Linked DNA regions of Lepisosteus oculatus. The protein of the gene in region 2 purifies or fractionates together with the protein of the main gene of each other region. This does not show direct contact. Links are inferred from orthologs where the notes say so. Each region holds a gene or a part of one and is shown on either strand. Other genes may lie near its edges. The genes, in order: membrane protein FAM174 and zinc transporter ZIP11.

Region 1 (16,291 bases), on a different chromosome or scaffold from region 2:
ATTTTATTAATCATGCTTGATATAGGCATAGTGTATATGCTGATTAATATTAATAATCAGAACATCCAAAGGAAACAGTGAAAGTCACATACTAGTAGTGTTTACCCTTGAAAGCAATGCAAGCTGTACATCTGTAGTACATGCTTTGTGCACTGCTAAAGAGGACTTGGCTTCACTGCTGTTTAGTCTACCTGAGATGTTGTTCTTACATACCTAATGTACAAAGGCACCGTTTTTTTCACCAGGCTCAAAAGCTCAAGTTAAATCACCTTTGCCTGTTCAGCTCAATCACTAATGAAGTGTTTTAGTCCAGGTCAATTTCATTTAAATCAGTCATGCAAAATCAAATTTAAATTGACTTTATAATACATTACCCAAAATCTGCAGGCTTTACTTTATTTTTTCTAGAATATACAGTATATGCATAACATAGAGCAAAGCACACATATAGATTTATATCTAAATGTAAAATCAGTGAAAGTTAATAAAGACTGGAAACACATCTGTACAGTATGACAATTAATGTTTTTAAAAATGGAAATATGCTTTACTAAAATAAAATGAATTATCATATCATGGAACTGACAGTTGCCCATAGACTCTGGCAATTTGTAGAACTGAAAAGAACAATGAAGTTTCAAGCACCAGAAGAGTTTGGTTATCATCACCAGTTCTTTGTCACTCAGAAACTTGATCATACTGTATTTGTGCTTTATTTCTTTATTCCACCTTTTTAAACCGGATCAATGTTTGAAGTTCAAACAGCAGCTCAGTTGTAATGTTCCCTTGCCACTGCAAAAAAATGCCCTATTTTTTCAATCAACACACAATTTGTGATCTTATCTGATCAATTTGATCTATTTGCTGCAACGTCAAAGGTTATTTAGCCAGCATTTTTTGTAGGTTTAAGTTTTAAATATAATAGCATACAATATACAGGTAGTACTGATATAAATTAAAAACGTTCAACTTCACTGTCACATTTCAGTTTTACTAATCAACCAATGACATGCATTGTTAACAGGTGACTGTTAACAGCAGCAATAAACTGAAAACCAATGAAGCTTGATAGACTGACCTTATTCAAAGTCGAAATATTCTGTGACTGGGAAATAACAGATTTACAGATAGAAACCTCTTTTTGAGAAGTGTGAATTAATAGTCTGCAAGAACCTTACTGTTTGACCATTACGTAGTATGCCTGCCTACATTTAAGGTTCCCTGACTTTACATGGCCAGAACTTGAATCTGTGAAAATATTCTGACCTTCAGGTCTGAAAAACACATTTGATTTTTCCTGGGTTTCCACAAATTTCATGACCCATACAATTGTGACAAAGGCTAGGATGCATCCTGTTCATCCTGAGCTACTGACAATTACATTGCAGGTGTTATATAGGGTGTATTTCTTGTAATGAGGTCACAGCTTGTTCAATTTTTATCAAATTGTATTTTTACAATACAATACATTTGACATTCTGAAACTCATGTTGCCCGCACCTTGGTTTTAAAGGCTAACAATTGGACAGTGTAAAGACATCTCAGACTAAAACATTTACTACATAAAAAAAGGGAACAAGAACAAGGTTCTACTATTAGTTAAAAGGCACTAAAAAGATGTAATCCCATATGGATAAAGTACAGTAGATGTAACAATTAAGAATAATCTGGTCACCTGTTGCACAAATAAAACCTCAAAAAAGGAAGAAAGGGGAGCCCTGGTCATGAAGATATACGAATGTATTTAAGAGTCACAGGTGGTGAGTAGTGTCATTTAAATTTAAAAAAAAAATTATGTTTAAGTTATATAAGTTATATTACATATGATCCTACATTGCTGAAATCAGTAACATTGCTAAGTTTGGGTATTTCTGTATAACATTGTATGCATATTTAGGGCCTCATTTTCATAACAGCGCAAAGCAAAATGCATTCATTTAAATCATTTTAGTTAGGGTTCCTACAAAGCCAGAGCCTATCCAACCAGGGACACCAGACAAACAGGGAACATCACTCTCCCCTGGAAGGGAGGCTCAGTAGCTTATATTTCGATGAATCAATATGTATACTGTATATGAATCAATCATATATCAAAAATCAAAAATCAAATTAAGATATATGAATCAAATTTTGATTGACATTATTAGAGGTTTGATACTCCCCTTGGTGCCATTTGGTTTTATAATAATTCTTACATTTTTAAATAATGTCCCTGTAGAAATTAAAGCAGTTTAACAAAAAATGATCAAAATAATATCATGTGTGTATTGTATGAAAGATCACTTCAGTGTGTAGTCTGGCCAGGGACAGATACAGCTATAGAACTGGCCAGTATACTATACTGTATATTCCTACCTATCACATACACTTGGCTACTGCCATTGGACTGGGTCAGTCCCTTTTAGTACTTACAGGATTTAGGGTAGGAAAATCATACTCTTGCTACTTGCTAGGACATACCTACAGCCAGACTTCCCTTTCTGTAAACATCAACTAAATAAACAGAAATCAATTTCCACAGACACACACTGTCACAGTCTTAGAAGCGCATTGTGAGAGTTTTTATGAAAACAAACAAAAAAAACCCACTTATAGGCACTGCATTCAATGTGTGACTGACAAGAGCCTCTTTCATAACTGGAAGATGAAGTATTTACACCAGAGGTGTCCAGTTCTTGTCTTGGGGGGGCCAAAGTGTCTGCAGATTTTCAAGGTCACTCGAAAGTTGCAGGATCTGAATAGCTTGGAGATGCTGTTAAATGAGTTCAGTTAAGCCAGAAACCATCTGGTTTAGCTCATTAAAAGCTGATTTGAAATAAAAATCATGGAAACGCCAGCCCTCCAGGAGCAGGTTTGGACAGCCCTGATTTACATACCAAGTATCATTTTACAGCTCTAGAACAAAAGAAAGCACAGTTGTTTCTCTTAATGTACAGTGCTTAGCAAGTGTGCTCTGAAATATAACCATAGGGGCATATCATATTTAGTAAAATCATAATGAGTCACAGTAGACTCTTTACTCAAAGCATTATTCTAACTTGGTAGGAATCATAGCCAATACTCCAGACTTCGCTCTTCTTAATATGTTATAAATCAGCCATTACTTATAAAAAGGTACACAATTATACTGAGTTAGCAGCATCACAAAAATCAGTCTTGAGTTACAAGAAGCACTAAACAGCTTAACAAAAAAAACTTCCATGAATACAGGATGCTTTATTAAAAGTTATATTTCTTTTTTTAGAAATACATTTTTCAAAATTATGAGACTATATCATACAAAGGCTGTTAGAAAGGTATTTCAATGACCTTACAAGGTGTAATCAGTAAGACACAGACCGATCCTAATCATGCTTACCTCCTTGAAATACGAGCATCAAACAATGTGGTATCATCGTCTTCATCCTCGTCCTGCTCCAATGGTGTCATTTCCATGGCAAGATTTGTGTCCAAGACTCCATACCTCCTTGTTTTACGGTTCTTTTTCATTCTGAATTAAGAAGAAAAGATCTTCAGTACAAAATACACGCAAACTTCAAACACATGGTGGTTTTGATGTTAACTATGATAACCTCATGGCTTCATTTTTACAATATGTTCACAGTGCTCCACACTTACATGCCACATCCTAGCAGTGGAACACGCTTACAGAACGTATTGCTTGACAGAATTCCAAAATGTGCTACTAATCCTTTAAAAAAAAGTCTTCTGACTGCAAGGCAAGAGAGCAAAATTATCTTAACCTGCCACAGTAGCAGTATTTGAAGAGCACATACTGTATAAGACCTCAGCCGAGAAATCTACTTTAGCATGTTCATAAAAGTAACCAGTAGCAAATTTCAATATGAATTTCAAGTACAATACGGAGGTATCAAAACCCTGTTAAAGTGTACATCTGTAGAAATTATAGTACTAACATTTTTCATTCTTCTAACACTAATACATTTTTCTGACAAAATAAAAAAGGCTTAGGGATAAAACAAAAAGAAAAGAATAACAGAAAAAATAAAGCCTCAAGTTCTAGTCATTAATATCAAAATAGGTTTAATTTTTCCTTTGGGCAAACTGTGGGCAAAGTGCCCACTCCAGAGTACATTAATCAGTTGGGACAGTTTTCACGTAATGAAAATTAAATTTAAAGACTTTCCTATTTGCTTCCTAAGTAGAGGTGTCTGTGTTTTGGGAGTTCATTTTTTATTGTGCAAACTGATGTCCTACAATCAATTGAATGAATTGTAATATTGTGCCATGAATTGGTTTGTGTAAAACCAATGGAGAATTACAATTTCTTACCATTTTACCATTGAAATGGATTTTAAATAACCTAAAAAGATTTTACCAATCCGATATTTTTTTAGATGCAAAAATACATGAAGCAGAAAAAAATGAAAACTTAATCAGTGTATGTGAAATAATAAGTGAACCCTAGTTTACTGAGCACAAGTAAATAGCATTGGTATGAATAAATAAAAGAAGCGAGTTTGGGCACTCCTGTCTTAAAATGTCTAAAAATAATCAGAAACTTTGAGAGTGTGGTTTACACCATACAGGATAAAGGAAACGCATCACGACACAATCAAAAATAAATTTCAGAGGACTTCAGGAAAAGAGCGGTTAATGCTCATCAATCTGGAGAGAATTCATTAAAACATTTCTAAACTTCTGGGGCTCCATTAATCCATTCGGGAAATGGAAAATATCTGAAACCACAGTGACTCTATCCCAGGACCTGGCAGGTTGTCCTGCCAACAACAATCCTGTAAATCATCGAGGAATTCACAAAGAACCCCAGAGAAACATCTAAGGATCTGTAAGTGTCTGTCTGCCTAAACCATCAGAAATAAAACTGGAAGGATATGGATGTCATGGGGAAAAAAGCATTGCTCTCTACAATAACATGTCAGCCATGTCAAGTTTGCTGAAGTGCACCTGGTTGATCCACAATACTGCTATAAGAATGTTGTCTGGACCGTCATATCAAAAATTGAATTTTTTTACTACAATTAGAAATGTTTTGTGTTGTGAAAACCAAATGCTTCCTTGCAACACAATTGATGTCCCTCATCTTTGATGAAACCATTAATTCAGCACTGTATTGGCAAATTCTGGGGGAGAATGCCCGGCCATCCATTCATCACCTGAAGCTGATCTGAAAAGAGGTCATACAACAAGACAACAATCCTAAACATACAAGCAGGTCTCCAACAGAATGGCTAAAGAAGAAATTTTGCATTCGAATTGGCCATTTAAACGTTGTACCATGACCTGAAGCGAGCTGTTCACGCAAGGAAACCCTGAAATATCAGGGACTTGAAGCAGTAAGAGACTGATAAACATTTACAGAAAATGTCTAACTGAAGTCATCGCTGCTCAGGAGGTGCTGCCAGAAACTGAATCTAATTTATTGACATGAATCTAATCTTAATTAACCTAATGTATTCCCACAATGGGTTATTTTAATTAAATAATACAAATATATCTTTGCATTCCATGTTTAACGAAGTTTGCTTTATAATTTATTGAGACTTCCAAGAGGACATGAGGATTTAATTACTTTGCAGTTGTAAAATATACAAAAATATGGACCAACCTAGAGAGTTCATAAAGCTTTTCTTGGCACTGTATATCATTTTCACTTTTTGGAAAGTCATCTTAGAACTTCTTTTGTCTTCCCTATTTAGTGAATTAAAAAGCAGTAAAAATGTATTAAAAGTGACCATGTGGAAAAATAAATATGTGATTTCAACTTGATTTAAATGGCATTGTAGTTTAGTCTACCACTTTGAAACCACACTTGACTTAATCATACATAATGTTACAGACAATAGAAGATGCACCTAATTTTGCATACAGTACAGTATGTACAGTATATACAAGATATCTTTTATTTGTACTTGTACTGTAGCATTACTTTAACTGGATACTAAAAGATGGCCAGAACTTATAATGTGAAATTCCTTAGCACATAGGGGTAGTCAATACATTTCAAAATGTATGGGAGATGTATTGTTACATGTTGATTAATACAGCATTATAAAGGGTATTGAATGTATTTGCATTTCTGTGTTTCACAAGTCTGTCTTGCAGTTGAACGCTGTTTTATGAATACTGTTACTGTGGTTAGGACACAGTCCTAAATACAACAGAGGAATAATACATAGCTTAAAGCAGATAAATATAAATAAAAATGCTTATTTTTGTGGGCAAGCAGATCAATTTCAATTTATTTCAGATAAATGAATCAACACTGATTAGTCTTTTTCTCGCCTGAAACCTTTCCATTAATTCAATCCAGATCAAGGCAATAGTTTCTAAGAGGACAGGAGTCACACAACACAGGTTACAGATATTTTTTCCTCTTTAGGCAGTTCTTTAAAGTTCAAACTGCAGTTTTGTTTGTAAGTTTAGTATAATAAGGTATAAATCGGCACCAGCCTCATTACTGAAAAATATATGTTTCAGATCGTTCGGTTTTAAATTTTACTCTCAAAGCCCCTAATTTAATGAAGAAGAAGAAAAAAACCGTGTCCACAAAATGCCCGTAACTGGTTCAACCAACCCATGTTCAGATGAGTGTTCTGAACCAGTACCAAACAAAAATAATTAAATCCAAAATGTTACGATGTTGCAAAAGACAACAGCGATATAAAACTGCGAAGGATTTGTGAAAACAAAACAAAAGCAAAAACCTCATCGCAACTCTGTCGCCGCTTTTAAAGAGGATGTCGCATTACAAAAGCATCTAAGAAAACAGAAAAGTAGCTTAGGCAATCGGAAAACTATGATGCAGTCCTTACTTGACAGTCCTGATGACGAAATAAACGATGACAAGAGCGCTGACAGCCACAAGCACATACAGTGCCCTCTGAATGGACATCGGTCTGCTGTCATTCGCGGCCAGCTCCGCTGCCACAGTCCGGCTGGTGCTCTGGAAGTCGCCCGTACTGTTGTTTTTGCCTTCCCTGACTCCAACGGAGCCTGTGTGCGTATTCATTTTGGTATTACCGCTGCTGGCATTGCCGGTGTTTTGGCTGATGCCCACCTGGATCTTTGTAGACGGAGCTTTGTACGGGCCAACTGTGGCAACAGGAGGCAAAAGTACAGGCAGTAAGATGCATACAAACAAACTAGCCCTAAAGACCCGTGTCTTTTCAGGACCCATGTCCTAAAATAATTTTCTTTTTTTTTTTCTGTCAGCACTGACGTATTGTTATAACACACAGAGCAGAATCAACTCCCTCTTATTTCCCTCATATTGTTTATGCGTTGACTTCCTACCGTCGCTACGCAGTGTGACATCATCTTCCCTGCGTGCCTGCGGGAGCTGCTATTGATGGGCTTCAGAAACTGAGGAGAAGACACCCGGATGTACCTGTAAAACGTGTTTGGTCACAGAAGCATTGCAATGAGTCTTTTTAAATTAAGCAGCAACGTCTGTTTAGTAATGCAATTAGGTAGAGCTCTCACAAAGTCACAAGACCCAAGCATACTGTACAAACGAAAGAAAAATATCCTGCAAATGTTTTTTTTTTGGTCTTTGACCTAAAATGATTAGTCTTTGACAATGACAATTGAAGTACTGTAAACATTCTTTATTATTAAAATATCTTTAAATAGATATTCTAAAAGTACTGCACATAATTTAGTCTACAATGCTTCAACAACAAGAAATGTTAAAGATGTGAGATGTGTACTGCATGTGGCATCTGTATGTGCCACCTTATTTTCCAGTAGTAGGCAGTTAGCGTGATTAATAGTAAAACAGCCAAAGAAAGAACACAAAATCAAGTTTAAAAAACAGAATGCAATACGTGAATATATGTGTAAAGTTAAGAAAAGTTTTATCTGCCTACCCGTCATCAGAATCTCCTGGTGAAGGTCAGGAAAAACAGGAGCCTGCTATTATCTAAATGTGTAATTTTCCCAATCAATCAAGGAATTAAACAACGAATAACAATAATCTAGAGGCAGATGGAAATATGCCAGAATATAAAAAACAACATCACAGTGCCTCATGAAATGAGTTTCTAATGTATTACATTGACCCAGAGCAATTTAGCGAAATAATGCTTCTCTTTCTAATTAAATGATACTGAAAAAAAATCAATACAACTGTTGAGGCTAAGACTTCTTGTCCATCTGTTTAACTATGTTTTTCTTTCTTCTTTCTCATTGTTTGCTTCACTGATTCTGGTTGTCTCACATAGTTCTGCCTGGAAAGGTCTGCTAAAGGTCCCCACGTCTGGTGCCTTTTTGAAGGCAGTTAAAATGGATACCTGAAAAAAATTGTTTATAGGATAAGCATTTGTAGTTATACACAAAGATTCACTTCTTTACTTTTTTTAGGAAGCAAAAAAAAAACAATGCATCTTTTGTATTAAATAAAGTCTTGTGCTCTCATCTGTATACTATCAAAACCTCACTTGTCCACTATCTAAAGTTTAAAACCTAGGATCCAACATATAAAACAGAGCATCTTGTCTGTCTGTTCCTTTATGCTGTGGTGGGAAACCTATGTGGCCTGTTGCTTAATTTCATCCAGGCCGCAGGAGCCGGGTTGGTCAAATATTGTATAGCCTCCTCTGACATCCAGGGGAAAGTCAAGAGCTATGTACAGTATGACCACAAAATTGTCCTGCCACACATTTTGCACAACGGCATTTTGAATTTTGTGAAAGGAAAAGAACTGTCATTTATGGTTGTATTTGATGCCACCACGATACAGAGAAAAGTCAAAAGACTAAATATTCAGGTTCAGGTACAACTATGTTGTGTATGTGTGTATGTACTGTATGAGGTGCAACTGTAATTGAGCGGACAACAATAAGGCTGCTTTCTGTCCCTGTATTTCCATATTGCATAAGCATATTTTTATTTTGCCACGGGGTGAAATTAGTACTCTTTATCATACTAAGGGATTTCTATCCATCCGTTTTCTAAGCCGCGTTATCTAGTACAGGGTCACGTCACGATGGAAGCCAGAGCCACGCAATGAGTGCGAGGCGGGATAGACCCTGAATGAGATACAAATCCATCATAGGGTACAAACGCAGGAAACAAACACGCACATACTGTACTCACATCAGGGTTAATTTTCCCAGAAGCCAGTTAACCTACCAGTATCTCTTTGGACTGTGGGAAGAAACTGGAGCACCTGGAGGAAACACATGAACAATAGAAGAACAAACAAACTCCACACAGACAGCACCAGTGATACCACTAGGGGCACTGTATTGAATGGGAGGTACTTTGGGTAGAGTGTCATAGATTTCACTGAGACTTTTGACCACATTGAGATGCCAGAACAGACATGTTGTGACAAAGAATGCCACAAGGGTATCAGAAGGGGAACAAGCTATTTATACAGGTGTGCACACATTACAGGACTATGATGATGACAGGGATGACAGCGAGAGAGTGGTTCATTATGCACCACTGTACACAATTTACATTTGATGGATTTCAGTGAGTATGCAATTTGGAAAATGACATAAAGAGAGTGTGTTGGAAGAAAGGACTTTGTATTATCTAAACTATAGTGAAGCACAGGAAACACAATAAAAAGAAGGGCAAAGGAAAATGTAAAGAGTTAAGTAAGAGACTTATCACTCCATGGGAGAAACTGAAAGAGAAAGGAGAAGCAGGAAGATAAAACAGGCTTAACAAGCTCCTGTAGTTTATTTTTCTAATTTAGGGAAGGAGACGTAAACATATACAAATAAGAGAAAGACTTGGTACTCTGAGGTTGTTTACATTTTTATATTGTCAAGAAGGCAAGTCTGGAATTGCTTCGAGGAAGAAAAATAACAAGGCATTACTTTTCTAACTTTGAGAAAAACAAATGTGTTTTTGATACAAGTAAATTATTTGTTTTCTACTATGTTAACAGGATATTTTGAGATATTTTTTAGTGTAGTCCAGCTTTCCTGATCTAGGGGTTATTTTTTTATCCTCACCAAAAGTAAGTGAATCGTTTATTTTTCAATGAATTATTTTCTTTATAAAACAAAGTACTATTTTTTAACTATATTGTCAGGGCTCTAACACTGCAAGGCAGCATTGCAAACCATCATGCCTCCCTACTAAGGGATTTGATTATGTTAATTTTGCCCTGTCCGACACATGACATCACGCTGTCCAATTAGTGTGGCCAATTACCCTAATCAGAATGCTTCTGGCATGTGGCAGGAAACCAATGCAGACATGAGGACAACAGGCAGACCTTACACAGATAGAGCCGCTTAGCCAGAAAGTGATCTCTTGTTCCCACGGCTGTGAGACAGCAGTGCTACAGAAAATGCAGTATCCCCAATCCCCCTGTTAGGCAAATATAACCCTCTGTAAAACTGAACGGATGAACCTGACATATTTACCTCATGGCAAATTTATGTGTTCAAGTTTTCAACTGGGAGGTACAGTGGCTCTGTGTATAGTACTGCTGCCTGCTGGTTTTATTATAGATCAGCATCACAGTGATATTTATAATTATGAATTAACCTGGTTAAGAAATATAGTCATACATTTAACTGTGGTGGTTGGATCTAAAACAATGATCCTGCGAACCTAACTAGTAGCAGCCAAGTCTTACTAGCCAAGTCTCGTGCATCTGAACACTATATCCCAGTTTATGTGGAAAACAGTTTTTTTCATTAAAAATTCAGGCAATAAAGTAATAACAATTGCTACAGTAGCACTATAGTAGTACAGTAGGTTTCTATGCAACCAAGGCGTCTTGCCTTTTGGAACAGCGTTAATTTGCCTAAAATATCCTAAAGATATAAACTGTCAGTACTGAGTTCTGTAGAATATTTAATTGGATTGGTTTCTGCTGGATTTTTTATTCTTGAAAATATTTGTTGGATTTTTTATTCTTGAAAATGAAGTTTACTTCATATACAGTAAACAGGATGGGGCACAAATAATATTGATATCTGATACTATTAACATTACCAATTGGATTAATATAAATTAAAAGTACATATAATATTTCTCTATTCCAATTTTAATGGAATGGTTTTATCTGTTTATACAAACTGCACATTCCAGCAAGTGAGAGACTTTAGAGGACACCATGCATTTGACATCATATCAGATATACTGTAAATATACTGTGGGATTATCACCTGTTGAAGTTACTATCAACCTAACACACATGTGGCAGTAGTACAAGGGCATCCTGCATTTAAAATGCTTTCTATGGTTATAATTCTGGTTCACCATCAAGCAAATGCCTTTAAATAAATATTGCAGATCTATTACATACTTAAATATTATGAATTTACTGAAGACATGAAGACATGGCTCACCATTTTCACAAAAGTAGAACACGTTTGTTTAGATGGAGATGAAGCCTAAAGAGATTCTATTTGCCAACAAAGAAGACGCTTTAGTTATGTTTTTTGGATACTTATGTGCGAGGCAAAATACATTTTAGTTGGCTTCCTCAAACTATTATCACATTATCACAAAGAAAGATTTTTTGTGATATAATCATTGTACAGTATGTTTTTGCCTGTGAAATTACATATTGTAACGCAACGGGAGTTCAGGCGGGCACCCTTGCCGCATTAGCAAACCCTGGACTCCCGCGTCACTCAACAGGGAACCAGCCCAGTGAGCCAAAGAGAGATCTCTCTACAGCCCAGGGGCTGTGGTCCTGCTGTTACTGGGAAGGGCGGTGACGTCACCTGCTCTGGTAAGCCGGCTCTTACACAGTACCTGTCGGCCGTAAGCGTTACAATATATTTACAAATTACAATTCCATATTTAGAAAATTCTACATGTGTTTTATAATATTCTTAACTTGTCACATCTGTACAACCCATGAGAATGAAACTGATAAGGACTCTGCAGTACTTAGACTTTAATGAGATGCATGAATATACCGTTACATGTTGTCATTCACAAAAGTGTACTAAGGGAGGATAGGCTTTAAACATGATATACCTGTTGCTTTGTGAGAGTGGGGTGCTAGGAACACATACTGTAGATGTATTTCTTTATGTCAACCATAAGACAGACTTTAGCATACCATAGGTTAGTGAGGGATAAATCAACTGGGGCACAAATTATGTTGCTATGGTGAATGATTAGAGCCTGCATTGATCTGATCTTTTCAAATAACCAAAATAGAGTAAAAAAGGTAAAAGTAAGAGAAGCATTGGAATAAACACAACATGATCATTTTCAAAGTATGTTTCAACGTTCAACAAAGGCAATTTAAGGAAAGGTTTATGATACTAGAGAAACAGAGGGATTTGAGAATATACTGTATAGGGAATCAGAAAGGTATACACAGCTAAAGGTTTAAAATTCAGTTGTAGAGCCATCGATAAAATTAATATAATTAATCACATCACTCTACTGGGGCATTAGGGACCAACATAGACCACAGCACCCCCTGCTGGCCTCACTAACATCTCTTCCAGCAGCAACCTTAGTTTTTCCCAGGAGGTCTCCCCTCCAGGTGCTGACCAGGCTCACACCTGCTTAAGTTCAGTAGGTAGCCCATTGTGAGTTGTAGGGTGATATGACAAATCATGGCCCAGAACTGTTGGTGTAAATGGTTCAATAGATTACGAAAGAAAAATATACTGTAAAACAAGAAAAATGTTTTATAGGGACCAAGATGCAGAAAAGTGGACTACTACACAAGATTACAGATTTTGAGGCAAAACTAAGTCCAAGAGCTTTTTACATTATTACAACAGCAAAAGACTGAAAAGGAAAGAAGTGGTGTCATAGAGATACAAATGGTTTTAATATAAAAGACAAGCATAGAAAACGTAAAGGATTTCAATGATTCATTTACTCAGGTGTTCAAAAAGGAGTAAATTAATAAAGTGCTGCAGGTTGAAGAAAGGTTCAAACAAACAAATAAAACCAGATGGTTTTTATTGACCTGAAGGAATAACACACCTTATTTACAGTATAGCCCTCTTGGTAAGATAAATCAATTGACTTCTATTGCAGTTAATTGTGTGTCCTGATTAGAAAATTGTAATTATTTTATCCAGTCATAAAAAAGTAGAGAAAACAGAATCAGTGAATTATGGACAAGTCACCCTTGCTTACATCTAAAGATATGAAAAAAAATATAAGAAGCAAATTGGAAGAAGACGTCAAAAGGCTTCTCTTGGCTTTCCCACCCTGGTGGGATAATGTAACTCAACACGAGTGAATCCTGTAGAGGTTTGAGACACTTTGAAACACAGATATGGCAACTGAAAGTCTCTGCCGATAATAAAATATCCACACATGTTCTTGGCGTCTGATTGAAATGCTCCCCCAGCCCATCAGCCATAATGGATGTTATGGCATGGTGAAAAGTACATATGGTAAATACCCAAAATATGCTAAACATGTTTCAGCGAACTAAATGTAACTTGTACATGTGGTCTGTGATCATTTCTATTTGTATGTTTGCCCTTGAGATAAATAAACCAAGAGCATGCATTAGGCTTTGACACTGTGCAAAGTAAAGGCTTCTGGAAATCTGGTTACACAGTCACTGAAAACAATAATAAAGTGTTTGCCTCCGCTGCTTCACTCTACAGGTTCTGCTACTGTACTGTATATCCATAGTAACTCACTGGAACTGAATGTCTATGACAGATAGTGTTGTAATGGAGACCTGCCAGAAAGTCATATTTCAGTTGTCAATTGACAGTTTTGCAGTGATCAGTCACATCCAGGGACTGTATAACACTATCTTTGGTAAGGTTTTTGCACATCCCATATCCCTGACTGGTGCGGTACACCCTAGTCATAGTATCATCTCTTTAGCACCCACTGTACAATAAATAGTTTTCTACTTTATCTACTATACTGTTTAGGTCTTTACAGACACTGGCTTACAGCTCCTTGCTGCTCTGCCAAAAAGAACTTATAAAGAGGGATCTGTCCTTTTTAGTTCTGCAAAATTTCCTGCAGCCTGCAAATCTGGCTTGATAATAATAGTCTTTTATTTAAACAGCCAAGTCACTTGAGAACAATTTTTCATTTACAATGGGAACCAGACTGAGTCTTACAACATTGTTGCACAAAAGGCAAAGCAGAGTAGAAAGAAAAGAACAATCAATAAAAAGTAAACACCATAACAGGATCTAAGCACAGAATACCCTTAGACATGACAGAAGATATTTTATGTTTAATTCTGCAGATTGTTCCAGTCATTGGCAGGAGCAAATTGAAATGAATTAAAGTACCCAGATTTGGTAGTTGCACCTGGGAGGTTTCATGAAAGTGCTACATCCGAAATTATAGGATAATAATATATTCAAATATATAAACTGTGATTTACTTATCTTTCTTTTACTTGCAGCAAAAACTGTAATTGTTTTTACCATTTGTTTTTAAATTTTACAATATATTGTGATGCCACATGGGGAAGCTCCCACATGGGGCAAAAGTTCTACAAAGACGCACCCCACACACCAGTCCTTAAGTCAAACTGTTCTTTATTGCTAGAACAGTGTGCAATCTGGCTTGTATTTGACACAGCAACAGGAGTAGTCAATGTCCTGTCCTGGCTTAGCCAGCATCATAGGCACATGTCTTCAGTCTGATGCCTGTAGGTAGCCAAGAGACTGTAGTCTTAAGCCATGTGGATCTGTCGCTGAGCCAGCAGCCTGCATAGTCATTTCAGTCCAGAGGCTTATGAGGCAGCTGATACAAAAATAGAGCCTTCAGCTTGGTAGATCTATTTTTGTATCAACAGCTTGTACTATGATAGAGAGGCTAGAGCAGTGGCATCACAGCTGGTCTTCGTCCTGCAGGCTTGGGAATCAGCCATGTGGCTGAGATCTGCAGCTAAGTAGCTGTATTTGAAAAAATAAACAGCCTGCATTGTGTTAGGGTAGCTGATGTGGTAGCAGCACAGTTTATCTTCAGCATGGAGGCTGGGATTGTAGCTGGAATTTTCAGCCTGGAGGCTGGTCCAGTGTGGTATCAGCCTGTACAGGTGTACAGGGTATAGTTTCCCAATGTCTGAACAATATTATTCATACAGAATCAGTACAGAGAAAATTGTGGGGCTATGTTAATAAACACTGTGAGTCTGAAACCATTCAAAGAAGTTCACTTCAATACCAGGTCTAGCTTTTGGGCTTTCTTGACTTTTCCCGCCTCTCCTCCCAATCTCCAAACAGTTTTCCAAATAGTTTTGGAATCAGCAAAAAATGGATTTCAAAGTCTTAAAAAACATTTTTCTTGAAATACAAAACAAGATTCATCCCACATGGACATCAAAGTCAGGAAAGCACTGGCTCAAATGGTTAAATAAATAAATTAAGAAAAATATAAGGGAAAAAAGCAGTATACTTTATACAGTAAACGACAGCATTTAATGAAGAATGGGATCCGGTTAAATGTAAGGAGTATAATTAATTGCAACTACAGGCTAAGAGGGGCATTAGAGACCAAGAAGAAGAAAATAGAAAAAAGCTAGGACATCTACATCAAATAATAATTTTTAGTATTATAACAGTAAAGGAACAGTAAAAAAATTAAATAAAGCATCTCAGAGAAAAAATAAGAAACTTTCAGATTACGTGTATAGGTGTTTTTCAAAGAGGGAACACAGAACTTACCAGTCTAACTAAACACAAGGTCCTATATTAAATAATATTAGCATAGAAGTGGCAGACAAATTACAGATACTAGAAGCACTTGAGATAAATCTCCAGGGCCTGATGGTATTATTCCTGTTGTACTTAAGGAAACATGAGATGGTATTCATATGCCATTATCATAAGTCTTCCAACAGTCTCTCAAGACAGGAGTAATACCCACTGACTGGAAAATTGCTAATATAGCGCCTGACCTTACAAAGAGTGAACCAAGTAATTATAGACCAATAAATCTTTTCTTATATTACATGCAAGGATATGGAAACAATAACCTGTCAGAGTTCTCAAGAAACAGCTGTAATGCAAGAGAGAAATGACACGGTACATTTAGATTTCTAAAAGGCTTTTGATGAAGTTCCTCATGAAAAATTAATTCCCAAGGCTGCAGATATTCGAGGGAATGCGTGTACTGTACTTGGATTAGGAATTGGTTATTTGACAGGAAACAAAGGGTGCAGATAAGTGGTAAATCAAGGTGTACGAGGTGTATATTTAAGAGTTTACCAGACGGACACGTATTAGCACCTCTGCTTTTCCTAATTTATGTCAAAAAAGACTTTGGTATAGGGAGAAAAGCAGTCATATTTTAAGATAACACCAGACTAGGAGGATATGCAAATGCTACAGAAACTGCAAAAGATACTGAAAAATATTTAAACTAA
Region 2 (16,695 bases):
GCTGCAGGTATTATGTCATGCAGAAAGTATAGGGGAAACAAGAGGAAATTAAAAAAAAGAAAAGAAAAATTGAAGTAGGGGAAAGGTTAAGATGAATGAAATGCCCAAGCCGGGTTGAAAGAAACAGAGTACAAGAGCCTTCAGATGAAAAGGTGCAAGGAAGAGAATTGATGAGATAAGTACAGTATGAGCAAAGAATAAAAGGGATTTTGTTAATGTGTTGATGTCTCCAAGTATTCGCTTGTAAAAAAGAATTTTCTGTTTACAATTGTGCTGTCTTACACTTTCAGATGTTCTAAGTGCTAAGGAATATTTGCTTGATTACTTCAGTGGCCTTTTGGCTAAAATTGCAGTTCAGTAGTGCTTTACTGAGCAATCCATCCACTATCAGGGAACGCTATATCAAATTAATTTATGGAAGTGGGAGCTGAAATACGGGATTGCTACATTCCACTCACGCTTCCATCTGGAATCGCAGGACCTCCAAAATTGTTCCACCTCCCCAACTTGGACCTTCGCCTGCAGCAGCTACTGTAAAGTGGGATGTGATTGTCAAACAAGTGAAACTTACCGCAGCTTAATTCTGGAAACTTAAGTGCTGGGAAAGGAGGGTACTCCATATTCATTTGATTGTGAGATTTCAGCGCCTTATGTGTGATGCCTTAGTTGTCAAAATAAGCAATGTTTGAGAACAGTACAGTGTCTAATCAGTGCATCTATAATTGTGATGAAAGAATACTCCATCTTAATTTTATGTCCACTTACATAAATCAGCAACTGGTTCTATATCTGTTTGTTGAGTGATTTTAATCTAAACATGAAGGCTGTAAACAGTATTAGATATAATATTATCAATAATTCTAATTCATTACTTATTAAATATAAAATAAGCATTTATTTAGGATAAATCTCTAGGATAAATCGGGTGTTTAACTCAGCTGGGTCCCAGAGAGAGGTGGTTTATATATATATAGCCAATTCATTACATATTTAAGATTTAAGGTTATTGCAATTTCAGGAACTAAAACATATTTGAAGGCTCCAACACTGCAGTGGAAACACATTCATACAAGTCTAATTAACAGGTAAGTATCCATAAAGATGAAAAGTGTAGTTTTGTCAGATAAAGGTTACTTCCCACTAAGTCTAAGTACATTATGCATGCAGGATGCTGAAACCACCACTACATAAAGACTGCTAGCCTGCTGCATACAGTTCAGTGAATTCAATTTAAATAGACCAATATCAAGGACTAAAAGGTTTTATCCACTGCACTGCCAGTAATTTTATTCCTAACAGCTTTTTAAGTCTCATAAAGGCCTAAATGTACCAAATATTATAACTCAATACATCACATAAATCTTCACTTGAAAATTTCAGACTTTACACATAAATGTCACTGTGAACATTGAATTCCCTCAATGAAAAAATAATATTTCCTAAGTAAATGATCATTACACCTAATCCCTTTTTACAAAGTTTGACTCACTAGCTTATAGGATAAAACTATTAAAGTTTAATGTTCCCTCGGCTTTTAGGAATGTGTCAGAGGTTTATTAATTTGTATCAAACTGTCAGATGGACAATGCCCAAAAGATCGGTAACATAAGAGTCACTAAGAGAAGCAGATACTCAGCACTGGGTTTTCAAACCATTTGAATATGATTGTGCTTATTTGTGAATCTCTGTCCACATCACACTTTAAAATCACCATCCGTTTCTTTTAAAGGCTCATCCTTCCCGACGTTTAGTTATCCTACAAACTAATAAAGTCACTTTCTTGCATTTGAACCTTACACAATCAGATACCAAACTTTCTGGTTAATTTCAGTTGTCATGCCTCAAAGTCTCATGTCTCAAAGCCAATATGAATATGCTTCCTGCCGTATTAAACTTGACATTTTGACAATCCATGTAGTACACTTTTAACAATAAAAAATAAAATAACAGGTTTGTGACCATCTTAGTAGGTATCCTCAGTGGCCCACGCCCAAGACCTAAAGTCAGTATCAAATTTCACATAGAAGGTGTGAAAAATGGCAATACTACCAAGAGCTAGAAGACACTTTTCAACAGCATTTTAAACATTCACCTGCTGATATACTATATTAGGATCCAAACAAAGAAAGTGTGTGTCATGTGTTCCAAGAAGATAAAAAAAAAATACTGTGTGTGCAGTGATCTATCCTGTTTTTTTTTAGTAAAGTCACCCTGCTGTTGTGAATAAGTTAATGGCATGTGGAAGTAAGCCACATGTTGCTTCAATTTAAATGGATTGAGATCTGGGGATTGTTCTGACCACAGATGGTGGTGAAAGTCTCTCTAGTGCTATTCAAGTCCAGACACACTGGGTGAATATTAGTTAATTAGTTGGTTAAGGCCTTAGAATGCACATTCTTGATTAATTGTGATTAAAGGAATGTTTCAATTTATTAAGGTTTTGGTTTATATAAAGGCCCTCACAGTGTTAGTTAGCAGTGTGGCTTAAAATAACAAGATTAAACACGAACATACAGATATAGAAGGGAAACTGTAGGGCAATCACACACACACCCTAGCAAAAAGATGAGTTTTGAGTTTGGATTTGAAGAGAGTCAAAGATATTGTGCCTTGTAGAGTCTGATGAAGGGCATTGCATAACAAAGGAGCAGCAACAGAACGGGAACGGTCACCAAAAGTCTGAGATTTTAGTCCTAGATACAGTGAGCAAAGGACCAGACTCAACGGAACGGAGCCTGTGAGAGGGAGTGTAAGGAGTGAAGGAGTTCAGAGATGTATGATGGAGCCAGATTTTTTTAAACCTGAATGTGAACTCCCAGTATTTTGTCCAATAAACATACAGTACAAAGCCTTCTCAGATACCCATGACCATAAAAATAATTTTAGTTAGACCATCCAATGCCACTGGGTACCTCAGTCAAATGTATTAAACTTTTTAAGTGAAAAGGCCACATTCTCAAACGGCAAAGCACCAGCCATTACACAATAAGGGCAGGAGTACGAAACAGACTTTTAAAGGACTGGGATCTCCGGACTCATCACACATTCCTCACAATGCAAACTAGTGCAGCAAGTGTCTGACACACTGGCAAGAATAAAATTATGGATCTGGCCAAAAGAAAAACATTTTAAAGGTGCACCTATAGGGAGTACCACAGCATTCGATCCAAGATCAACAGTCCATACCAAATGCAGACATCAGATAGCATGTACACTGCCAACGCAAATGAAAATTGCACCAATAGCCTGTGAGCTTTTGAACCAAATGAACTCTCTGCATCTTGTTTTATACATTTACACAACAATACACAACAACAAAATACCGGTTCAGTCCCACTACAGGCTTCTTTATATACTGCATAAACAGGGAATCCTTTCCTTCCTAGTAAAAAAAGATGGATTTCAATTTCGAAGCTTGCGAAGGATCTCACCCAGAGAGGAGAATAAAATATTCAAGGACGCCGCTCTTACCCCCGCAGCAAACCCCAGGCTCCCATCCAGGATTCTTTTCTGGGGGGGCAAAAAAAGAAAAATTACATCAACCATCTGTTTCCTCAATGAAACCTCAAGTTTCAAAAGCTGTAACATATCTTTCAAGACTCCACAGTGAAACATCCTTCCTCTTTCACTTATAAAAAAGGCACCCAACGGTTGTTGTTTTTTTTTCCCCCCAATCAGCACCTGAACCAAAAATGTGATTCTTACACTTTTCAATAATTGACAGAATCCCCACTGTGCAACACATTCCCTGAAATCCCATTCAGAGTTTGCCAGAGAATTTGTCAATTTGGATTCCCGTCCAGAGCTATTAAATCTGGTTTGTAAAAAATGCATTTTATCAAAATACATATTCTCGGTATCAGTGGAATGGATGTGGCAGAATGTTTTTTTGGAACTTATGAAAAATACAATTAAAACAGAACACCACCCATTCTTAAAGTATTTTAGATTACGGCTTCCTTTTAACTATATGTAATATAGTTAATATTGGTGCACAACTCACAAAAAGATTTTCTAGTCCAGCTTTAAAACTAAAAAGGCTAAAGATGAAAAGGTAACTAAGGAATAATGATAAGTCATTTATGCAGCTCTCTGCATCCCAAAGTCCTTCACATATAGGAGGGGAATTAATTCATCCATCTCTGAAGTGCAGCATCCACCTGGGTGACACACAGCAGTCACTATGCCTCAGCAGCACTGCACCAGCTCAGGTGGAGACACACAGAACTGCTACATCAACTGATTTAGCAGATCAACTGATGCCAGCAGCCATATCACCCTGCAACTCACAACTGGCAACCCACTGAAGCTAAGCAGGTGTGAGCCTGGTCAGTACCTGGATGGGAGACCTCCTGGGGAAAACTAAGGTTGCTGCTGGAAGAGGTGTTAGTGGGACCAGCAGGGGGTGCTCACCCTGTGGTCCATGTGGGTCCTAATGCCCCAGTATAGTGACGGGGACACTATACTGTAAACAGGCACTGTCCTTCGGATGAGACGTAAAACCGAGGTCCTTGTGGTCATTAAAAATCCCGGGGCGTTTCTCGAAAAGAGTAGGGGTGTAACCCCGGCTTCCTGGCCAAATTCCCCATTGGCCCTTACCAATCATGGCCTCCTAATAATCCCCATCTATGAATTGGCTTCATTACTCTGCTCTCCTCCCCACTGATACCTGACGTGTGGTGATATTCTGGCGCACTATGGCTGCCGTCGCATCATCCAGGTGGGGCTGCACACTGGTGGTGGTGGAGGGGAGTCCCCATTACCTGTAAAGCGCTTTGAGTGGAGTGTCCAGAAAAGCGCTATATAAGTGTAAGCAATTATTATTATTATTTAAGGTGGAGATTTAGGGAGACAAGACTGTGCAAGCCTGAAGCTGAATTAAGCCAGGGGACCAGGGTAAGCACTCCCTCCTAATCCAGTTACCTATAGAACCACTACTGTACAGTAGTCCTATAAAGACGGATAAAGAACAACATATATATTTTAAGAAAATAGTTCAAAACATTAGTAATGCCAAATTCATAGAAGACAACAAAATATTCCAAATGTAAAAAAAAACAATGAAGTTTGTCTTACAATGCATAGAGTTACCATAGCAATGATTATAGGGTAAAGGAAAATACTTCATACTTCATACTATTCTAATATTAAAAAGATTAGCTTCTTTCTTTATAATTTGTAATCGAGTTTTTTTCATCCAAATTCTGTGTACAGCTGCTTAAGCCGCATGTTTACATACATTTCTGGTACTTCAAACTTGTTATACAGTAGGTGTTTGGTAAGCTTTGCAAGAAAATGGCACAGTTTAGTATTACTGGACTCTGTATACTGTAAACACACTTTGGCATAACTGCAAACCGGTCAAGGCAAATCAAGGCAGATGACAAAAAGGAGCACACACGCAAATCTTGAGTCCGTGAAGGCAAGCAAACAGCTGCTCTATAAGATCAAATAGGTACAACAGGTCTTCTACCTACAAAAACAAAGCCATGAAAGAAGCCTGGTATTTACTGCGTATACCCCAACATGGAAAGGGTAATGAAAGTAATTTACCATGAACTGTATTCATTTGCCCTTCATGGAGCTTAAAGCAAAGCACCAGTATCCAGTATTGTGCATGCTATTAAGCAGTCTGCACAACTCCTACATCAAAAACACTCAAGCAAGCTGGCCTGAAAGAAAGCAAATGGGAATAAACAGGCAGCTCGGAGTACTGGCAAGAATCTTTCCAACAAAACCAGCCTCTTCTTTTCACTGCAAGTGTGTGTAAAACTGCTTTAATCAAGCCCTCACATGAGGCTTTGCGTTGGCATGCAGTAATGCTTCAAAATAAGAAGCTGCCAATGTATTTCAGTTTCCCCAGAAGCTGGTCGCTCGATAAAGATGAATGTAATAAACGGCACCTGTCCTGTGGAGAAAATGAAGACCAGGGCAGCTCCTGCAGCTGTGAGCCCCCAAGTGAAGAGAGTTCCCAACAGGGCCTGGAACACTGGGCTGTAACCTGGGATCATACTTTCCACCTGGAGATACACACACAAACACAATCTTAGGAACAGGGTCACAACACTTAAAGAGTAGTTCAGATTGCCTGTAAACATTCTCTGTTGACGTCTCCAATTGTCGTCTCCATCTCCGTCTCCATTGTGTCACGCTTTCTAACTCATAACATGGGCAACCCTAGTGCTTCTGAAGCACTGACTTTCAATTATGAACATTAATTGGTGACAACTGTCATTTGTTCCAGGTACAAAATGATAGGCGATGACTCACAGAAGCTAAAGATTTCTGTCTCTCAGGAAAGAGAGTAGACTATGCCTGCTCTAATTATTTACACAAAACAGGCTATTTAAAGGGTCCTCAAAGGATTCCTTGAACTGGGCTCCCTCCTGTGTTGACCTACTTAAACCAATGAAATTGAAGAAATTTACATTCTCAAGCACATTTCTTGCTTGCAAATTCAGGGATAAGCCTCTGCTCACATAAGTACATGAAGAACAGAGAACTGGGGTTCTGAAATGTCTTTCTTGGCCTCATATTTGGATGACATGCTGTGAACTGAGGGGAGATAGAGGTGCAAACCTCTCCTTCTTTCACTAGACATGATTGAGGAGTTTTGTGGATAGAGCGTTTGTTTAGACAAGTGTTTTTAAAAATGCACTTTGCAAAACAAAATTTGCACAGGAAGATTCATCTGGAAACAAATCAAGCAACAAGTGTTAAGTGAGATTCTTTGAAGGAGGCTGCTAAGAACTATAAAATATTTCTAAAGACCAGTTATGAAGAGGTGTTGAAGACCACTGTGCAGAGCACCCAGTGCAGCCTACATGTTGTGGACTCTGCAACACTGACACCCCCTCTCCCTCCCCATGATGGTATCCAGTCCTGAGGACCTTTCATACAATACAGCTGAAGAGACAATAATGCACAATACGATCAAACAACCATGATGCATGCATCTAGTTCATATTATATTTGCAGGTTATGAATAAAATATTTGCCCTCGCACTCCACTGCACTTTGAAAAAATTACCTCACTGAAGGCGCAGTGATTTTGCCTGATGTTGTTCCCACAGAATGCTAATTGATTTAAGTTAAACAATTGGTTACTAATGACTCGCACACGCTCTGCCAATGAAAATTGCTTGTAAGCTTACGAAGGGTTGCAGCTCTAATTTATTGTGTCCTCGCATGTCATTCACTTCTGGATTAACTGAATGATGCAAAATTTCATCAAAGTGCAAATCCTCATCTAAGCAGAAATACTTTTAAATCAATACTGGTATATACAGTGTGACATCTTGAATCAACCCCTTTACATCATAATACATTTTATATTAGAATATTTGTGCACAGTGCAGCCAACTGTGTACAATTCATTACAAAACATCTGGCAGTCCTAACAGATTTCTTTAGAAATGAAATCTACATCTACTGTGAATCACTATACATTCTTGCATTATAAAAAATCATGTTCTTTAAATCTGGACGGTATTTGGCAGTTTGAATTTCTTCATTCTTTTCTCCTCTAATGATACAAACTCTGCCCTTCTAAGATCGGAATTCATGAAGTGAATGCTGCAGGTCATGTTTGGTTTCTGGCAGATTTCCTCTTGTTTCACAAGAACCTAATTTGTTAATAAAGAAAACTGTTTTTTTATAATTCTTTAAACGTTTATTAGTAAGACACAAAAAATGCAAAAGAACCCAATTTAGGGAAAGAAACCAGATATCATGTTGGACACAAACAACTTATCAGATAAAATAATCGAAGATATCAAACAGAAATATACAAGGTCTACTCTGGAAAAGAATACTTAATAAGCAGTATTAACATCCTTCACCTAAAATAAACATAGTGCTGAACAAGTCTGACTTCTAGTCAGGGCAGGGAAGGCTAAGATGTTGATCTAGTCACTAATGAACAAAAGGAACACAATGTCAACATGAAACAAAAGTGTTAAATGATGCAGCTTTCCTGCTGTACAAGTTCCCTTTGTCCTGTCTGAAAGCCCACAGATCCTGTTTCTCTGCTCTGCAACTGTGAAACAGACTTTAAGCCACATTTAGTACAATTAGTGTGCTCCTTACAGGTTATTCACTTAAAAATGCACAAGTGTGGTTTTATCTGGGACCCTGATTAATATTTAACAGCTTAACAAATACATATTTGATAGTGCCGCAAGCGTCCCGTTTTCCTCGTACTTTTAATTCTTTACAGATGATAGACCATAAGGAGCTGAATGAAATGTGAGGATACATGAAAACAGATCCAAACTTCTGCTCAAACCCGTATTCTGAAAACCAGTTCATTTTTCAAACAGGTGGTGTATTGTTTTGCATTCAGGTGATCTGTAATAACTTATCTCATTTTTAGAAAGCCCACAACACAGCTGAATGCTTATCGAATCATACACTTCGCCACTAATTGTTTAAGTTTAAAATACTTAAATGTGCAAGCAGGTTGTTACCTGGATTTAAACGCACTCCAGGGGGGCAATGTTAGACTGAAAATGCTTAGGAAAAACATACGCCATAAACAATGTGCAATGTGTCAACGCTTTAATGTGACCTTTAATACATTTAAACAGAAAAAAAACACAATAAGCACTTACTGTAATGAACCATTCACCAACTGAAAGTCCACTGCACTCACTTCCTGTTTCTCTGTACACGTGTCTCCGAAACCCTCCAAATACCGCCCATCTCGAACTGCTACTGGCTGCTAATGTAGCGCGACTCAGCAATAAGCTTTTCCTTTAATTCTACTGGTGGTAAGAGCCGCCATTCATTCCGAAATTTCCAGGACTTGGTGTCCAACTATTCTCTGATAAAATAATAACTGTATGTAGTGTAGTATGGTTCTTAACAGCGGCGAGACATTAACGGTTTGATCTATTTTCAAAATTCTGTATTTAATTTCATACTATGTGGAATGTAAAAAGTAAAACCACGCTTGTTTCTCTGCAAAACACAATTATAGGCGATAACTTTCCATATATGCGTCAATCTAAAAACCACCTTTTGCTTTTCCCTTTAATCAAGAATGGTATGTTGAGACCTCTAAATTAAAGACATGTTTAAGAGTTACCTGTGACATCAATTACAAAGGTGTGTTCTGATTTACGTCATCGTCCTAAGCACACACAATTACTGAAATGTAGACTTAACGCTTACGGTCCAAGAATGACTTCCAACTAGAAATTACCGAAAAGTAAACATTTCAAAACACTTACAAAAAATTGTTTACCTGAATAAAGCTGGGTGGTTATTTTCGACAATTAAACATTTTAGGACATGAGTTGGGTTTATTTTGTTGTTGTTGTTGTTGTTGTTGTTGTTCTCAGATGTTGTCTGCATGCATTTTTTAGGAAAGTGTTTTCCGGTAATCGTATCAAGATCCCTAAAGTTGACGATACCGAATCTGTGGAGTGCTCTTTGCTAATACAATACATTTAACGTATTTTTGCGGAATTTCCCAGAGTTAGTGAGCTTTCCTATAAGATGTTCTGAATTACTTTCTCCATTTGATTGTGCTAAATGTTACACTGTAGATATACGAAACTGAACTAAACTGGAAACGGTCTTAATTAAGAAATTCGTTTCCCAGGATTCAGAAGAAAAACGAATTCTCAAACCATTAGAATAAAATTCAGATTAAAACTAAAATTAACAGGATGTCGGGGGCGGTGGTATTGGTTGGTACAGCACGTCATACTGTAAGTAAGTTTTATTATGCTAAGGAAAGATTATTAATGGGTAATACTATCTTCTTAAAAGGAAAGCTGGAGCAGGAATATCAAGATGACAGATAAACTACTGGCGAATAGGAGAGCTTGCTTTAGTCATCTGCTCCAAGGACAAAATACATTAATTAATAAATGTCAAAACCCTAAACGGGTTTACATTGGCAAAGCTGTCGTTCATTTCCAGGGCTTGCTGTCCAACTGCTTTTAAGAAAGAATTGTGTAGTGTACTGTGATTCTTAACAGCAGGGAGAAGTTAATGTTTTGTCCGCCTCTGTTGGAGCACAGGTGATCCTTTTTATCAGCATTTATTTTAAACTGTTATTTCATACAGAGAGGAGACTAGAATATAAACTACATTTATCTTATACCAAATGGTTAATACAGGCTATTAGTTTCCATATTCAAAATTCAAAAACTATAGAGGAAGGTATGTATATATGTAAACACTCATCCATCCGTTTGTAGTAACTGCTCCTTTTAATTCAGGGTTGCAAGAGAGCCAAAGTCTATCCCAGCAAGCAATGAGCTGAAAGCGGAATACATTCTGGCCGGTGCACCAGTCCATCACAGGACAGACACACACAAACACTCTTACAGCAAGGCTAAATTTCCCAGAAGCCAACTCATCTACTAGTACAGGTATGTCTTTGGACTGTGGGAGGAAACCAGAGCGTGCGAGCATGACTAGAACATAAAGATTCCACACAGACAGATAGTATGCCTGGGCTCAAGGGCTGCAAGGCAGCAATGCAAACCAATGTGCCAACATGCTGTCCAGAAAATTTCATTTAATTGCTTAGTCCCAAAGTTAAAAAAGTAAACTGATTCTATTATATTGTTCAGTCGTCCCATTAACAAATAAGCAGTCACATTTATTTTGTACAGACTAGTTTCACCTTGACTGGGGCTCTTCGGTGCAGTTTTTAGTCATGTTTTGTCTCTGCTGCAGTTGGTGTTTTGTCCTAATTTTATATATTAGTGTCCTTGTTTTCCAAAGGCATACAGTGTATCTGTGAAACTGAAGCGTCACTGTGTACTGTGAGCACAGCATGTTAAGAAGATCTAAAAAGGCATAGCTGTGATAAGGAGTGGATAATTTAGGATTTCAGAATGTGTGAAGAAAGGAAATAAAGAAAAGAACTATGTTTTTGAGTATAAAAAATAATAATTTTCTTTCTCTCGGACAGAGATTTAATGAGGGCATCGAGCCTGGAGGGCAGCCAGTGAAGGCAGAAATGCATCGCTCCCTTAACAAAGTAGGCAGTCAGACCTCCTTAGAAGTTCAAACAGTAAATGTGACCATCCGAAAAGAGGTTAAGCTCTGTGATCACGGATTTGATCACAGGTTGTAACCATGTGAGAGAAGGACCAGGACCTAGTAGGACCTAGAGACTCTCTGGGTTTACAAGGACAAAAAGTTTTATTTTCAAGAAAATGTCATAATCCACTGTGTAAATTCACACTGTTGGCATTTGAAAGGACTTGATCCAATAAGTAATGGAGTTAAAAGGTGTTACTACCATGTCTCAAGCCCTGTGATAAAAGTGGAAAGAATTAGAACGTTATCTAAATTTGGAAGGTCCTTGTAGATTGTATTGGTAGATAAAAACAGCCACATTTAGTTGTGAATGACAGAACATGGCTGGATCAATGTTTGATTGAGGAAGAAGAGAACCTAGCTGTACTCCCCATTGATTGAGAACGTATCATGACTTGCTTCACACAGGCCAACATGTCTTTTTTCTTGTAACTGCATCACTTACTAGGTATTGACAAGGTGTTCTTTATTCTGACATCCCCTGCCATGCCTCTGAGTCATCCAGACTCATGGTCGCTTGGTTAATGCATTTTTCACTAACAACATCTGTTAAGCCACCTCATGAAGACCCATGACTTTGCCTAAAAGACATCAGGCTGATTTCACAAAGATACTCCCTGTAATGTTTTATCAGTATCATGTTCTCGAAACCTTTAGCATACTAATTAAATAATGTATTATTTGTCAAGGACATAGAGAACATATGACTCATGGGTGTACTAACCAATTGGGTTGATTTGTGCATAATGTATCTTTGGTATTGTATAATACAAAACGGATGATATCTAACATTGGTTTCCAAGATACATGTGGCAAGGTAGCAGGCTGTACAAGACATTTGCACTGTAACAAGAGCCACTTCTGAGAAATTAGCTTTTGTCTTCACTATCCTTCAACCATGATACACAGCAATAGAGACAGCTTTCATCAATGGAGGAACTGACCGGTTCATCCCCTGCAGACAATAAGTGGACCACTAGAGCCATCTATCAGCAGATCTTGTTGGAATGCCTGCCTGACATGCAGTATGGGTGAAGCAGTAAATTGGACACTTTGTGTCACTGAAACGTCAATGTTGTCCTGATTGTACAGGCTCCCTTCAATTTCAACCCATCTTTTACTCTCCAGCAGATATTCCCAATCCTCTCCAAAGCCGGGTTTGGCAAGCAGCAGTTTAACACAAATTAAGGCTGGAACTAAGATACACCTTGAATTCATTCAGCCTGGAATATACAACACAGAATTATGTCATTCCTATAATATTTTGATCAAATACACTTGTTCATAGCTGTTGCTGATAAGATCTTGTGAATTGTAAATTCAGCTCTTCTGTTTGTAATAATGTATGTAGCTTTTTTCACAGCTTTTCAGAAAATTTACCAAAAATGCATGGTCCATAATAATTAAATTATTTTTGTAATAAATCAGAATATAGACTGCAATAGGTTTACTTGACATAAAATGCAAAAGTGATTTTCTCATTTTGCACTTGGTTTCATGTGAATCTGTATGGATTTCTGTGCTGACATCTACAGCCCTGTCTATTGATCATGAGGTTTCAAGCCTGAATAAACACAAAAACTGCCATCAACCAGCTAGTATGATTAAGTTACTGTTTTAGAAACCTGGTGCTTTCACCACACTGAAACAAGAAATATTTCAAGCCACAAATCTTGTAATGTACAGAGCTGTGAGACGACTTTACCTCATTAAGCCTCACTAGTTTCCACATTATGTATTCTAGAACCATGGTTTCTGAAGCTAATGTGTTTATGGTGCTCAGTTTGTACAACCATTAAGCCCTGCTTAAACTCTGTAAAGAATTATCTTTTAATAATTGCTAACTTCTATATTAACATAAGCCAGTAACCAACAGTCACTAGGGAAGAATACTGACTTGTATAGCATTTTCAAAATTAATTTATCCATAAGGATATACGTATGGAATATTATTAACCTGCCACTAACACTGATAAGACTCTTTGAAGTGTATCTCTTCTGTTGCACAGAACAGCTGGAGAAAGACTTTGTATAATCACACAACTGTGATTTGTTCATTAGTAAATCTCTTGAGTCTGCAAGAAGGCAACCAGTCTGTACCTTTCAGAGGTATAATGTGAATCATGCTTCTTCTTCAATTTACACCTACAGTAGATCTGGATACAACACCTTTTAAAAGGAAAGTTATTTTAAAACATCAGTAGAACATGATAATGCTGTGTTGTCTGTAAATGTATGTTAAGCTCCTTAGGACTGGCAAATCAATGGCTGGAAAAGTCTGGAATTTTAAAATGTCATATTCAGAATTTATTTCTACTCACTACAGTGGAATGCCGAATGAGTTAAAAATAAGAGTCCAGTGTTGCTAAAAAAGTAAAAGCATTCACTCCAGTGGAGTTCTGTGAGCTCAGGGTTAGCTGGTTTCTTTCGGACACTGTGGAAGTTGTGGCATGTGAAACAAGTTGAATGGATGGGTGGGAACAGCTTGGCGGCTCCTTCACAATCTCCTTATTCTGTTACTATAATCACAGTTACAACCTTTATTTCATCTAGCACCTTTCACGGTACATCATCTCCATAAAAACCCTTATTTTGGTTAGGAGGATTGAAAACTGGATTTTAATGTTCCTCTTCTTTGAAAAACACAAACATGGGCTCACAAGATGTCTGTCTCAAAGGGGTGTGTGCTTCATGCTGACCATAAAACCTGGTCTTTTGCATTACATTACAGCTGCAATATAGTGAAAGTCTAATAGTGGGACATTTGCTGTTTGCCATGACCAACAGCTCATTCAGCCTACCTCCTTGTAACACCTCTTACAACACCACCAGCAAGGGAAGGTCATTGCTTTAGAAGAAAATCTAGAAATCCTGAATTTTAAAAATAATTCACAGGGGAAAAGGGTGGTAACTTCAAGAAATCCATCAGCAATATGTATGCCCAGTAAAAGTAGTGTCAGGACTACAGCTGCAAAAAGCCTTAAAGAGGGCTGGATGGTTTAGTGTTGAGGTGTCAGAGTAATCATTTCCTGCCAAAGCAGGGCTGGCACTCTGGGACACTAAAACAGTTCATGCCTTGCAGGATACTTTATTTATACAAGACCCCTGACAGATCTAGAATAACAAACATAAGGGTGTCTTTTGAAAGCCAGAGCTGCATGCAAGACCACACAAAGCACATCGTGGAATTTACAGGGAGTCATAAAAGTGTGTTCCACAGGGAAGAATGACTATTTCTGTAGGAATGTTGGACTATTTAAAAGTCCTATAAATTTTTCCGTATTTTTTATATAGGGACTTTAATTGGTCATCTTTTTAGTTCAGACAGTTTAATTTTATGATAACAAAGGTATGTTGTAATGTTTACAGTGTACCAGTGTGTTTCGTCTGTATACTTACGTCAATGATGCCCGACCGAGGCAATAGGGGCTGAGGGCTTCTTTGTATTGGTCTGTTTTTGCTTTAGAAATTCACAGAACTGAGCAGTTATGCCATTATTTACAGATTACTTTTGAATAAATTCAAAGCCAGAGGTAAAGGACCATCCTTTGAAGAGCTATGTTTGTCAAAGGACGGCAATAGAGTACTCTGCAGCTGCTCCTCTGCTGCACAGCTTTGCTTTTTACTCACAGCAGGACTATGCGTAGAAAAAAAAGCTGGAAAACCACTTCGACGAGAATGTTTGATTACAGAAACAAAAGTTTTGGAATAGCCAGAACCATCTGCACTTTTGAAGCAGCGTGAGCTGGGAGCTGTGGAATCATTGCAGCCAGTAGCACTGACAAGGGACTGAGAAGAAGACTGGATGTTTTGAATTTCTGTCAAATTAAAATGATAAGTGAAAGATCAATTATATCAGGACTGTAAAAGACTCCTTTTTGGGGGGATTTTTGACCTTACATTTTCTGGAGAATAAAGACCTCTCAGATTACAAGGAAAAATCCTGTTGGAGAAACAAAGTTGTTCATCAATGGAGTACTTTTCTCTTTTTTAAACCTATTTCTATTAATGTAAACATTGCATTTTTGCTGGTATATGTGCACTTGACTTGGAAGCAGCTATAGTGTTTTGGATAGGAGAGTGACCTAACAGGTTGTTATGAAGTGCTTTTTATATTTTTTGTTTGAACATTGTGATTCCAAACCATGGAATACCAGTGACATAAGGTACTATAAGAAGCACAGGACCACTCCTGCTTCTGTTTTCATTTTGTGACACACATTTTCACCACATTTATTTTAAAAATAAAAAGCCTGGATTAAAATCAAAATGGAATCCTTGTACACATCAGTGACTGATCAGAATAGCCCGTTTCATTTCGACTCTTCGAGCGATCCCCTCCACGGTGACAGCGGCCCTCAGACCTGCCTGTTTGACGCACTGATGGCTGTCCTCTACCTGGGCGTTTGCGTCGTGGGACTTGCTGGGAACTCCCTGGTGATCATTACCATATTGAAATTGGACAAGATGGAATCAGCCACCACAGTTTACATCTTCAATCTGGCTTTGGCAGATGGCTTGTTTATGGTGGGGATGCCCTTTATAGCACTGCAGAATTTCCATCAACGCTGGGTGTTTGGCGACTTGGCATGCAAGCTAGTTATGATTCTCGATGGGATCAACCAGTTTACCAGTGTATTCTGCTTGACCTTCATGAGTATTGACCGCTACATGGCAGTGGTCAATCCCATCAGGTTCTCCAAATGGTGTACCCCAAGGAGAGCCAAGATGATCAGTGTCTTTCTGTGGTTTTTCTCCCTGTTGCCTGTTCTACCCATGGCGGTCCATTTCACAGTGATAGGCAGTACGTGTTCTTTAAATCCCCCGGGGTCGTTTGACATGTGGTGGTTAACCTTCATTATCTACACATTTACTCTTGGCTTTGCTTTACCTTTTATTGTCATGACAGCATGTTATGCTTCAATGCTGGTCAATTTAAAGTCTGGCATCAGTAGATTTCAGAATAGGGAGACCCAGCGCCTAGAAAAAAAACTAACCAAGATGGTTGTTGCTGTGGTGTTGGTCTTTGCTATATGCTGGTTGCCTTTCTATGTTTTCAATTTCTATTTCCTCCGGCATCCAGAAGATTTAACACCAGCCTTTGCAAAGGGTTTTGAATTTGTTGTGCTTCTGTCTTACTCCTGGAGCTGTGCTAACCCCATACTGTATGCCTGTCTCTCTGAAAAATTCAGGAAACACTTTCACACACTTCTGTGTCCCAAGAAAAGATCCCAAAGTCTCCATTTTGACACCAATGCCGATGGCTATGACTTGCATGACTTGAGTGGAATGGAGATGATCAGTATGGTGTAGATAATTGCTCCTGCAACATTGAGCTCTTTTGAGAATGCACAGACACCAGCTTTGGTTTGGATTATATTTCCTATAATCTTTTTAGTATTCCCCTTTGACTCACTTCCAAAGTTTGGCCTTTTTGTACGTCTGTATTAATGCTAAAACTATTTGTTTTACATTTTGAAACTCCTTTTCCCAGACTTCATTTGAAAGGGCTTTGTAACTAACAATCCATGTGAATAATGATATGCTGTAATCAACAGACATTAAATTTTATTTTTATGTTTTAGTATTATTATGCTGTATTTAGTCTCATACTGCAAAGTGTCACATTAG

The links.
Region 1: the proteins of zinc transporter ZIP11 (region 2) and membrane protein FAM174 purify together in Homo sapiens (co-immunoprecipitation; 3 studies listed by BioGRID and IntAct, counting the BioPlex papers as one, with this or other methods). This does not show direct contact. The link is inferred for Lepisosteus oculatus from reciprocal best matches to the Homo sapiens genes SLC39A11 and FAM174A.

What each region holds. Positions count from the first base shown.
Region 1 is NC_090698.1:55,259,931-55,276,221, reverse strand, and holds the start of membrane protein FAM174, read right to left. Parts: upstream 7,491-16,291; 5' UTR 7,163-7,490; coding exon 6,798-7,162; intron 3,491-6,797; coding exon 3,359-3,490; intron 2,896-3,358; coding exon 2,883-2,895; 3' UTR 1-2,882.
Region 2 is NC_090704.1:40,024,709-40,041,403, reverse strand, and holds the start of zinc transporter ZIP11, read right to left. Parts: upstream 8,693-16,695; 5' UTR 8,613-8,692; intron 6,021-8,612; 5' UTR 6,012-6,020; coding exon 5,904-6,011; intron 3,511-5,903; coding exon 3,472-3,510; intron 1-3,471. Other genes in the region: somatostatin receptor type 2-like, read left to right, coding at 15,334-16,377. UniProt on the Homo sapiens protein: Zinc importer that regulates cytosolic zinc concentrations either via zinc influx from the extracellular compartment or efflux from intracellular organelles such as Golgi apparatus. May transport copper ions as well.